Oryctolagus cuniculus: one gene and its partner. The protein of the gene in region 1 interacts with the protein of each later gene in a pairwise test. Links are inferred from orthologs where the notes say so. Each region holds a gene or a part of one and is shown in the gene's direction. Other genes may lie near its edges. The genes, in order: NDEL1 and CENPF.

What was found.
Region 2: the proteins of NDEL1 (region 1) and CENPF interact in binary tests that used the Homo sapiens proteins (3 or more experiments, as listed by UniProt). The link is inferred for Oryctolagus cuniculus from reciprocal best matches to the Homo sapiens genes NDEL1 and CENPF.

What each region holds. Positions count from the first base shown.
Region 1 is NC_091448.1:52,897,172-52,900,979, forward strand, and holds part of NDEL1 (nuclear distribution protein nudE-like 1), read left to right. Parts: intron 1-1,487; coding exon 1,488-1,624; intron 1,625-3,808. UniProt on the Homo sapiens protein: Required for organization of the cellular microtubule array and microtubule anchoring at the centrosome. May regulate microtubule organization at least in part by targeting the microtubule severing protein KATNA1 to the centrosome.
Region 2 is NC_091444.1:28,874,375-28,878,955, forward strand, and holds the start of CENPF (centromere protein F), read left to right. Parts: upstream 1-1,726; 5' UTR 1,727-1,996; intron 1,997-4,581. UniProt on the Homo sapiens protein: Required for kinetochore function and chromosome segregation in mitosis. Required for kinetochore localization of dynein, LIS1, NDE1 and NDEL1.

The sequences.
Region 1 (3,808 bases):
TAATCAGGTGAAGAGGCAGGTGAAAGGCAGAGAAGCAGGAAAGAGCTTGAGGTATTGATGTTTCATTTTGCTTGCCACGTACCAGACAGTGACTGACCAGAGGATGGTTGGGGTCAGGTTGTGAAGAGTCTTTGGTCTGTGTTTGAAAGTCACTCTGTAGGCAAAGGGAAACTCTTTAAAATTTTTTTGAGCAAAGGAGTAATATCAGAGTTATGATTCAAGAAGGTAATACTGAGGCGTTGGAAGCACGGAGAAGTGCAGAACATTTGGGAGTAATCCATTTAGGGAGAAGAAGTAAGGCAGAGAGAAGGTTGAGGAGGAAATAGATTCCAGAGACATTTTGGCAATTGACAGGAATTGCAGAGTAGGTGTTGAATGAATGAGAAATGCAAGATGGAAAAAGAGCTGACAGGAAGTAAGTGAAGTGGAACCTGGGACTTACAATGTTAGAAACAAATTCTTAGCCGGCGCCGCGGCTCACTAGGCTAATCCTCCGCCTTGCGGCACCGGCACACCGGGTTCTAGTCCCGGGCGGGGCACCGGATTCTTTCCCGGTTGCCCCTCTTCCTGGCCAGCTCTCTGCTGTGGCCCAGGAGTGCAGTGGAGGATGGCCCAAGTTCTTGGGCCCTGCACCCCATGGGAGACCAGGAGAAGTACCTGGCTTCTGCCTTTGGATCAGCGCAGTGCGCTGGCTGCAGCGCGCCAGCCGTAGTGGCCATTGGAGGGTGAACCAACGGCAAAAGGAAGACCTTTCTCTCTGCCTCTCTCTCTCACTATCCACTCTGTCTGTCAAAAAAACAAACAAACAAAACAAAAACAAAACAAAACAAATTCTTACATGCTTCTTTATATTCAGAAGTTTTCTTCTGGGGCCAGTGCTGTGGCATAGTAAGGTAAGCCTCTGCCTGCAGCACTGACATCCCATATGGGTGCTGGTTTGAATCCTGGCTGCTCTACTTCTGATTCAGCTCTCTGCTATGGCCTGGGAAAGCAGTGGAAGATGACCCAAGTGCTTGGGCTCCTGCACCCAGGTGGGAGACCCAGAAGAAGCTCCTGGCTTTGGATTTGCCCAGCTCTGGCCGTTGTGGCCATTTGGGGGAGAGAACCAGCAGATGGAAGACACTTTCCTGTCTCTCTCCCTCTGTAACTCTGCCTCAAATAACTTAGTAAATCTTTAAAGAAAAAGTTTTCTTCCTCAAAATTCATAAATGAGACTGTATCATGTTTAAAATCCAGTGAAAATATAAATAGTGTAACAGTTGGCCTTTCTTTAAGGAATTTTAAGGAATTTACTGAATGGCCCGAATGGAAATAGAGACCCTGAATCCACAGAAGGTTGGGAGAAAGACCAGCTCATTCTCTTTGAACTTGGTGGAACAGACTAGGTGAAGAATGTCATGAGATAAACTGACAGTTTCCTTTTGTGTTAGCTGTTTGCACATGTTATTTATTTACTTACTTTATGGACTGTTAATTTTTTTTTCCAGGGCAACAATAGTTTCACTGGAAGACTTTGAACAAAGGCTAAATCAGGCCATAGAACGGAATGCATTTTTAGAAAGTGAACTTGATGAAAAGGAATCTTTGTTGGTCTCTGTACAGCGGTTAAAGGATGAAGCAAGAGGTAAATTTTATAGTTTAAAGAATATTTGTCGGGGCTGGCACTGTGGCGTAGTGGGTTAAGCTGCTACCTGCAGTGCTGGCATCTTACATGGGCGCCAGTTCGTGTCCCACTTGTTCCACTTCCGATCCAGCTCCCTGCTAATGTGCCTGGGAAGGCAGCAGAAGATGGCCCAAGTCCTTGGGCCCCTGTACCCACGTGGGAGACCTGGAAGAAGCTCCTTGTTTATGACTTTGGCCTGGTCCAGCCCTGGCTGGTGTGACCATTTGGGGCGTGAACCAGCAGATAGATGATCTCTTTATCTCTCCTTCTGTCTCTAACTCTGCCTTTCAAATAAATAGAATAAATATTAACAGTATTCTTTTTTTAATCTGACACTAGCCAGGGTAAGCTTAAGAACTGACTTCCTTTCTTTTTTAAAGGTTTATTTATTTATTTGAAAGGCAGAGTTGGAGAGAGAGGTCTTCCATCTACTAGTTCATTCTTAAAAGGGCCGCAACGCCTGGGGCTGCTGGATTAGGCTGAAGCCAGGAGCCTGAAACTCTGTCCAGATCTACCATGTGAGTGGCAGGAGCCCAGTTACTTGGGCCATCTTCTGCTGCTTTCCCAGATGCATTAGCAGAGAGCTGGATCAGAAGTGGAGCTGCTGGGACTTGAACTGGCACCCATATGGCAGTGGCTTAATCTGATGTGCCACAACGCCAGACCCTACTGACTCTTTAATGATTGTTTTTTTCATGACTTTTTCTTTTTCCCTGAGGGATTGGTGTATTCACTTGAAGAGTCTCTCATAATTTACATAGTGTGTAAACCATTCTGTATTTTATTACTGTGGTTAAAAAAAAAGAAGCCACATAATGTTAAATTTACCATCTTAACCATTTTTAAGTGTACAGTGCAGTGGTGTTAGATGTCACGTTGTTGTGGAACAGACCTCCAGAACTCTTGCACCTTGCTCTATACTCACTGAAGAACAGCTTCCTATTTCTTCCTCCCCCCAGCTGCTGGCAGCCACAGTTCTGCTTTCTGTTTCTCTGAGTTCCACTACTTTAGACACTTCTTTTTCTTTTTCTTTTTTTTTAAGATTTTTTTATTTGAGAGGCAGAGTTACACAGAGACACAAAGAGATCTTCCATCTACTGGTTCACTCCCCAAATGGCTGCATCTGCTGGGGCTAGGCCAGGCCAAAGCCAGGAGCTAGGAGCTTCATCCAGGTCTCCCACGTGGGTACAGGGGACCAAGGACTTGGGCCATCCTCTGCTGCTTTCCCAGGTGCATTAACAGGGAGCTGGGTTAGAGGTTTGGCATCTGGGATTCAAACCAGCGTCCATATGAGATGCTGACGTTGTAGGCGGTGACTTAACCTGCTGTACCACAGCATTGGCCCCTGTATCCATTTTCTTTATGCATTCATCTATGAATGAATATTTGGTGTAGGTGCATTTCTTGGCTTATGTGAATTATGCTGCTATGAACACAAGTTTGCAAGTGTCTTCTTGAGATCCTGTTTTGAATTCATTTGGACCTTGGAAGTTGGATAATCTGTATCCTTTTCTGATACAAGGAAATATTCTATACATTAGTTGCCTAACTGGAAAATTTAATTTTGGGTTGAAAATTCAATATTTGAAAGCAAGGAAATTAATTTTAAAGTGATATTATTACTTTATTTAAATAAAGATTTTTATTTATTTATTTGAGAGGCAGAGTTAGAGGGAAAGACTGGTTCACTCTCCAGATGGCCTCAATGGCCAGAGCTGGACCAATCCAAAGCCAGGAGCCAAGAGCTTCTTATGGGTCTCCCATGTGGGTGCAGGGGCCTAAGCAGGTAGGCCATCTTCCACTGCTTTCCCAGGCCATAGCAGAGAGCTGGATCAGAAGAGGAGCAGCCAGGACACAAACTGGCGCCCATATGGGATGTGCTACAGGCAGAGGCTTAGCCTACCATGCCAAAGCGCTGGCCCTTAACTACTACTTTTTTAAAACAAAATGTTTCATAGTGATAATAAAAAATACCAACTCATATAAAATTATAGAAATGCATTTCATTGATTTCACAGTAATCTCCAAACTACAATATTTTAAAGTGAAAGCAAATGAGTTGATGAAGTATTTATTTTTTGGGGGCTGGCATTTGGCATTATGACAGTGCTTGGGATGCAGACTTCCCACACTAGAGTGCCTGGG
Region 2 (4,581 bases), on another chromosome or scaffold:
CATTATCCACTGTTTGTCCAGGAACACCAGCAGAGAGCTGGGTCAGTAGTGGAACAGCAGGGACACGAACCAGCACTCATATGGGATGCAGGCACTGCGCGATTTAACCTGCTAAGCCACATCGCTGGCCCCAAGAAAGTATTTTCTTAAAGGGTAAGATTTGTACAATTTAAGTGCTAATAGGAAGACCTAGGGGAGTAGAAACAGTTAATGATTATTGTTTGCAAGCCCCAGAACACAGCAATTATTCAGCCTTAGTAAGTGTCAGAAATAGGTTTCCCTTGGTTGTAACGGGAAAAATGCATGGGAGACATGGGTATAGATTTTGCCAAGTTTGCAGATTTGGGTGGCAGGAAACTGAAGATGTTCCTGTTACAAGTCTTATATTTCTGTGAACCATCAGGTAAAGTTGTCCTCTGAGAAAGAGAATGAAGAGATAGTGCTTAGAGGAGATTAGAGAAATTTTGAAATTGGGAGAAAGAGCATTAGAGGTCAAAAATTTAGAGGAAAGACCTAAGAAATACCTGTTTCTAAGGGGTGGGTGAGAATTAGAGAGGTGTAATGAAGACAGTGCCATTTGAATTGTGCGTTGAAAGATTAACCAAAGTTCAACGAAAGGAGAGGAGCAGTCATGCTACAGAAATAGTCTAATGAACAGTAAAGAGAGGAGTATGGAAAATTTGGAGCCTATTGAGGACAATAGCGTCGAAGATGTATTAATTTAGCAATTCGCTGTCTTCAGAATTCCTGCCTTCAGCAGCTTATTTTAAGTGGAATAGGAAAATAAAATAAGTACGCAAAATAGGAGGTGCCTTCAAAAAGTTCCCGGAAAATATATACTATGAAAAAACCACATGTGGATTAAAAAAAAATTTTTTTGCAGCAAAATAATCTTATCTTTTGAATCCATCCTGCCATGAACTTTTTGAAGTCTCCTCTTACATACAAAACTAGTAGCAGTTACATCGAGGTTTTAAGACACTCTTCTGAAGAGTTGGGTCTGCCGCAAGGTCCTCGCCCAGAATCCCAATTAACACATGTTGCAGCTCTTCAAAAATATGGTCAGCGGAGCTAGAATCAGTTTCAAATCACTGAGCTTCTGGGTGACTCCGTTAACTTTTTGTTTTTTTAAAGATTTATTTCTTTGAAAGGTAGAGTTACAGAGAGAGAAGGAGAGAGAGAGAGAGAGAATCTTTCACCTGCTGGATCACTCCCCAAATGGCCGCAACGGCCAGGGCTGGCAGGCAGAAGCCAGGAGCCAGGACTTCATCCAGGTCTCCCAAGTGGGTAGCAGGGACCCCAGGACTTGGGCCATCTTTGCCTGCTTTCCCAGGAGCGTTAGCAGGGAGCTTGGATGGAAAGTGCAGCAGCTGGGGCTCGAACCCCGGGCCAGCGTTGTACGCGCCGGCCTAACATCGTCGGCCTGCCGGCCCCAAACCTCCGTTAACTTGTAAATACTGTGGGAATAATAGTGTCGAGGAGTGGTTACAGACTGACACTGGACTAAGAATGCAGGGCCAGCAAGCATAGCACTTAGTATCAGCAGCCTAAATTTAACATACAAATAGGTACACAGGTGCAGTCTGAGCGCGAAAACCAGACGGCAAACGCCGCAGGCCGGAGGTGAGGAGCCACGCCCTCCTAATCAGCCCGCCCATTCCCTGGCTTTTGTCGGAAATAGCGGTTCTGAGGGCCTCCGGCGTCTGCGGAAGCTCGTGGTCTCCGTTTTTCCGCAACAACAAAAACGCACCTTCACGCGGCGCAGGCTCCTCCCGTAGCGAGGATTCGTTTTTTTCAAATCCCTCCGAAAGGACCAATCCGAGGAGGCATTCTGAGGGCGCGGAAGCGGATTGGCCCACAGCTGCTTACAGCACCCAATAGGCGTGGGGGTCGGGACCGGAAGCGGGCGGTTTGAACTGGACGCTGCGCTCTTACCCTGTGGAGGCTGTGGCAGAATCGGACTTTCGGCGGCAGTTTTGCCTTCCCCGGTGGAAAGGTGAGCGTCCCGCCTGGGTTCCGGCTCCGACCTGGGGGCGTAGCGGAGCCGCTGGCTTTCTGTGCGCGCGTACCGGGCGGGGACGCCCCCGGGCTCGCCCTCTCGGCCCCTGCAGGTGCGGCGGCCGGACCCCTCCCTCCTGACAGGACCGGAGAAGAGGCGGCGGCTGAGGCGCGCCGGGCTCTCGGTGCCTCTCTGCTCGGGGCCCGCCGCGCTCGGTCGCGGATTCGCGCTCCGGGGGGAGCAGTTTTCTCCTCCGGGTCGGGGCCTTTGTGGCATCTAGGAGAGGCGAGCCTGGGTTTTGGGGCCGGGCGGCGTGCGCGTTGGTCGTCACGAGAGCATTTCTGCCCTCCTGGCTTCTTTGTCGCCCCTTTCCCGTGTATTTGGGCGCGCCTGCGTGCCAGGCTCTGCTATGTGTTCAGGCCCCCAAAATACAGAACACGACTGGTTTTCGGCGAGGAACCAGGTCTAGAAGAGGAGACGGGTTTTTTCTTTCTTTCTTTCTTTCTTTCTTTTTTTTTTTTTGGGGGGGGGGGGCTGCTGAGTTCTGATAAAAGAGGGGCACGAAGACCTGCAGCCGTGGGGCGGGTGGGTCTCACTAGAGTTGCCTTGGGGACTTTGGAGGGATTAGGTGGTTCGGGCGTGAAGACTGTCCACATATTTGGGTAGAGAGAGCATTTTCTGGAAAAGATACGGGCCCTTCAAATCCCCCTTGCAGGAACCTTCATGTCCAGAGCTTCTCTTCAGCAGCAACACCCCCCCCCCCCCCCCCCCAGTTCCGCGGATCCCGAAGGAGTCCAAGTCTGCCTCAATCATACTTAGCTTGGGTCTGGCAATTGCTTTAAATAGACGAGTATGTTCTAGCTGTGGAATGGAAGAGCATTGGCCTTGCCAGTCTGGCCTCAGTTTATTTCCCTCATTTCTATCATCAGTGAAAAGTTGCTCTTTTTATACTTGTGCTCTGACGTCTTCATAAAAGGCTTTGAGTGTCTGGCTGAATTGTTTAAGGAAGTGTAACTGTGTGCCTCTGGGGTACTGTATTCCCATCCTGAACAAATAAGCGAAATAGATGTTGGCTATTAAGACAGGGTCTCCTGTCCTTTGTTAGTCGAGAGGTGGAATTTTTTTTATTTTTTATTTATTTTTTGGTTAAATAGGAGTGGGGTTTAAGATAGTGTCTTTCCATAACTGAGACTGCCCCAACAGCTCCCCCTCCCCAATAAAGAACTGGCTGCATATCTAATTTATGTTTTCTAAGGCTTTGCTTCTCCCTCGTAATTTTTAAAAATTTTACTATTTTTAAAAATGTTTACTATTTTTAGTAAAGCGTGTATTTTCAACTTTGTTGTCAGACTAATTGGAAAAAGGGATGGTTTTTCTTTCATTTATGTTAAAAAGGCCAAGGTAAAGAATGATTGTTATCCTTTACTTGCAGTTGATTTTAATTATCTTAAGATGTGTTTGGGAAGGAGGTGGCTACTTGTAACATAGGCTGAAACAACCAAAGGTGTTTTCAGTTACAAATAGAATTGCTAACACTTGTAGAAAGGTCACCAGGAGCTATTATTTAAAATGTTTTAGGAAATATTTTATTAGTATTTTAGAAATGAAGCAGTTAAGGCACAGAGCAGATAAGTAACGTGTGGAGTCACACAGCTTCTAAGTGACTGCTGGGAATTGAATCCTTTCAATCACTAAGGCTGTTTACCTGTTTCTGCTTCATGTCTGTCCAGGGCTTGATTTTGCCACTGTTTAGAATGATTTCGGTAGTAATAATGGCCTTCATTCTTTGCTCATGCATGCATTCATTGGAAGGGGATGGGGATTCTTGTTGCTGTGAGGAACTGGCATGGAATGCAGGGAGTGATGTCCCTACACAAGTCTCCGAGGAGATTTTTTAGGGGGGAAAGGGACAAAATATGAATGATAATTAATGATGTGAAGCTGGAACAAAGAGGATTTGCAAAGTGCCTTGTCATGCATCTTTTTTGTTTTCTGTACCTATTTTACTTGAAAAGCTAAAAGCAAAAATATCCATGTTTTATGTAATGAAAGAAGAAAAACTTGAGTAGTTAAAGTTGTAAGAAGCCAAAACAGAGGGGAAAAAAAAAACCACAGGGGAAATCAAATAAGTATATTACATTCTTCATGATTAGAGTTACTGGTAGTTACCTTTCAGAGGATAGAGAAGATAGAAACATGTCTCTCTCTTTTTTTAAGAAAAATGTTTGTTTTATTTTCATCTACTTGAAAGCCTGAAAAAGATAGCAAGAGAGAGAGAGCACTTCCATCCTCTGGTTCATTCCTCAAAGGCCTTCAACAGCTAGGACTGGATCAGGCTGAAACCAGCAGCCAGGAACTTCACGAGGGTTTCCCACTTGGGTAACAGATACCCAAACACTTGAGCCATCATTTGGTGTACCCTAGGATGCATTAGCAGGATGCTGGATTGGAAGCTGAAGAGCCATGACTTGAACTGGTACTCCCAGTGACTTAACCCTAAAGTACCTATTCCACTTTATTTTCTTGAAATGTAATATTTTTGGGGCCAGCGCTGTGGCATAGCGAGTAAAGCTGCCGCCTGC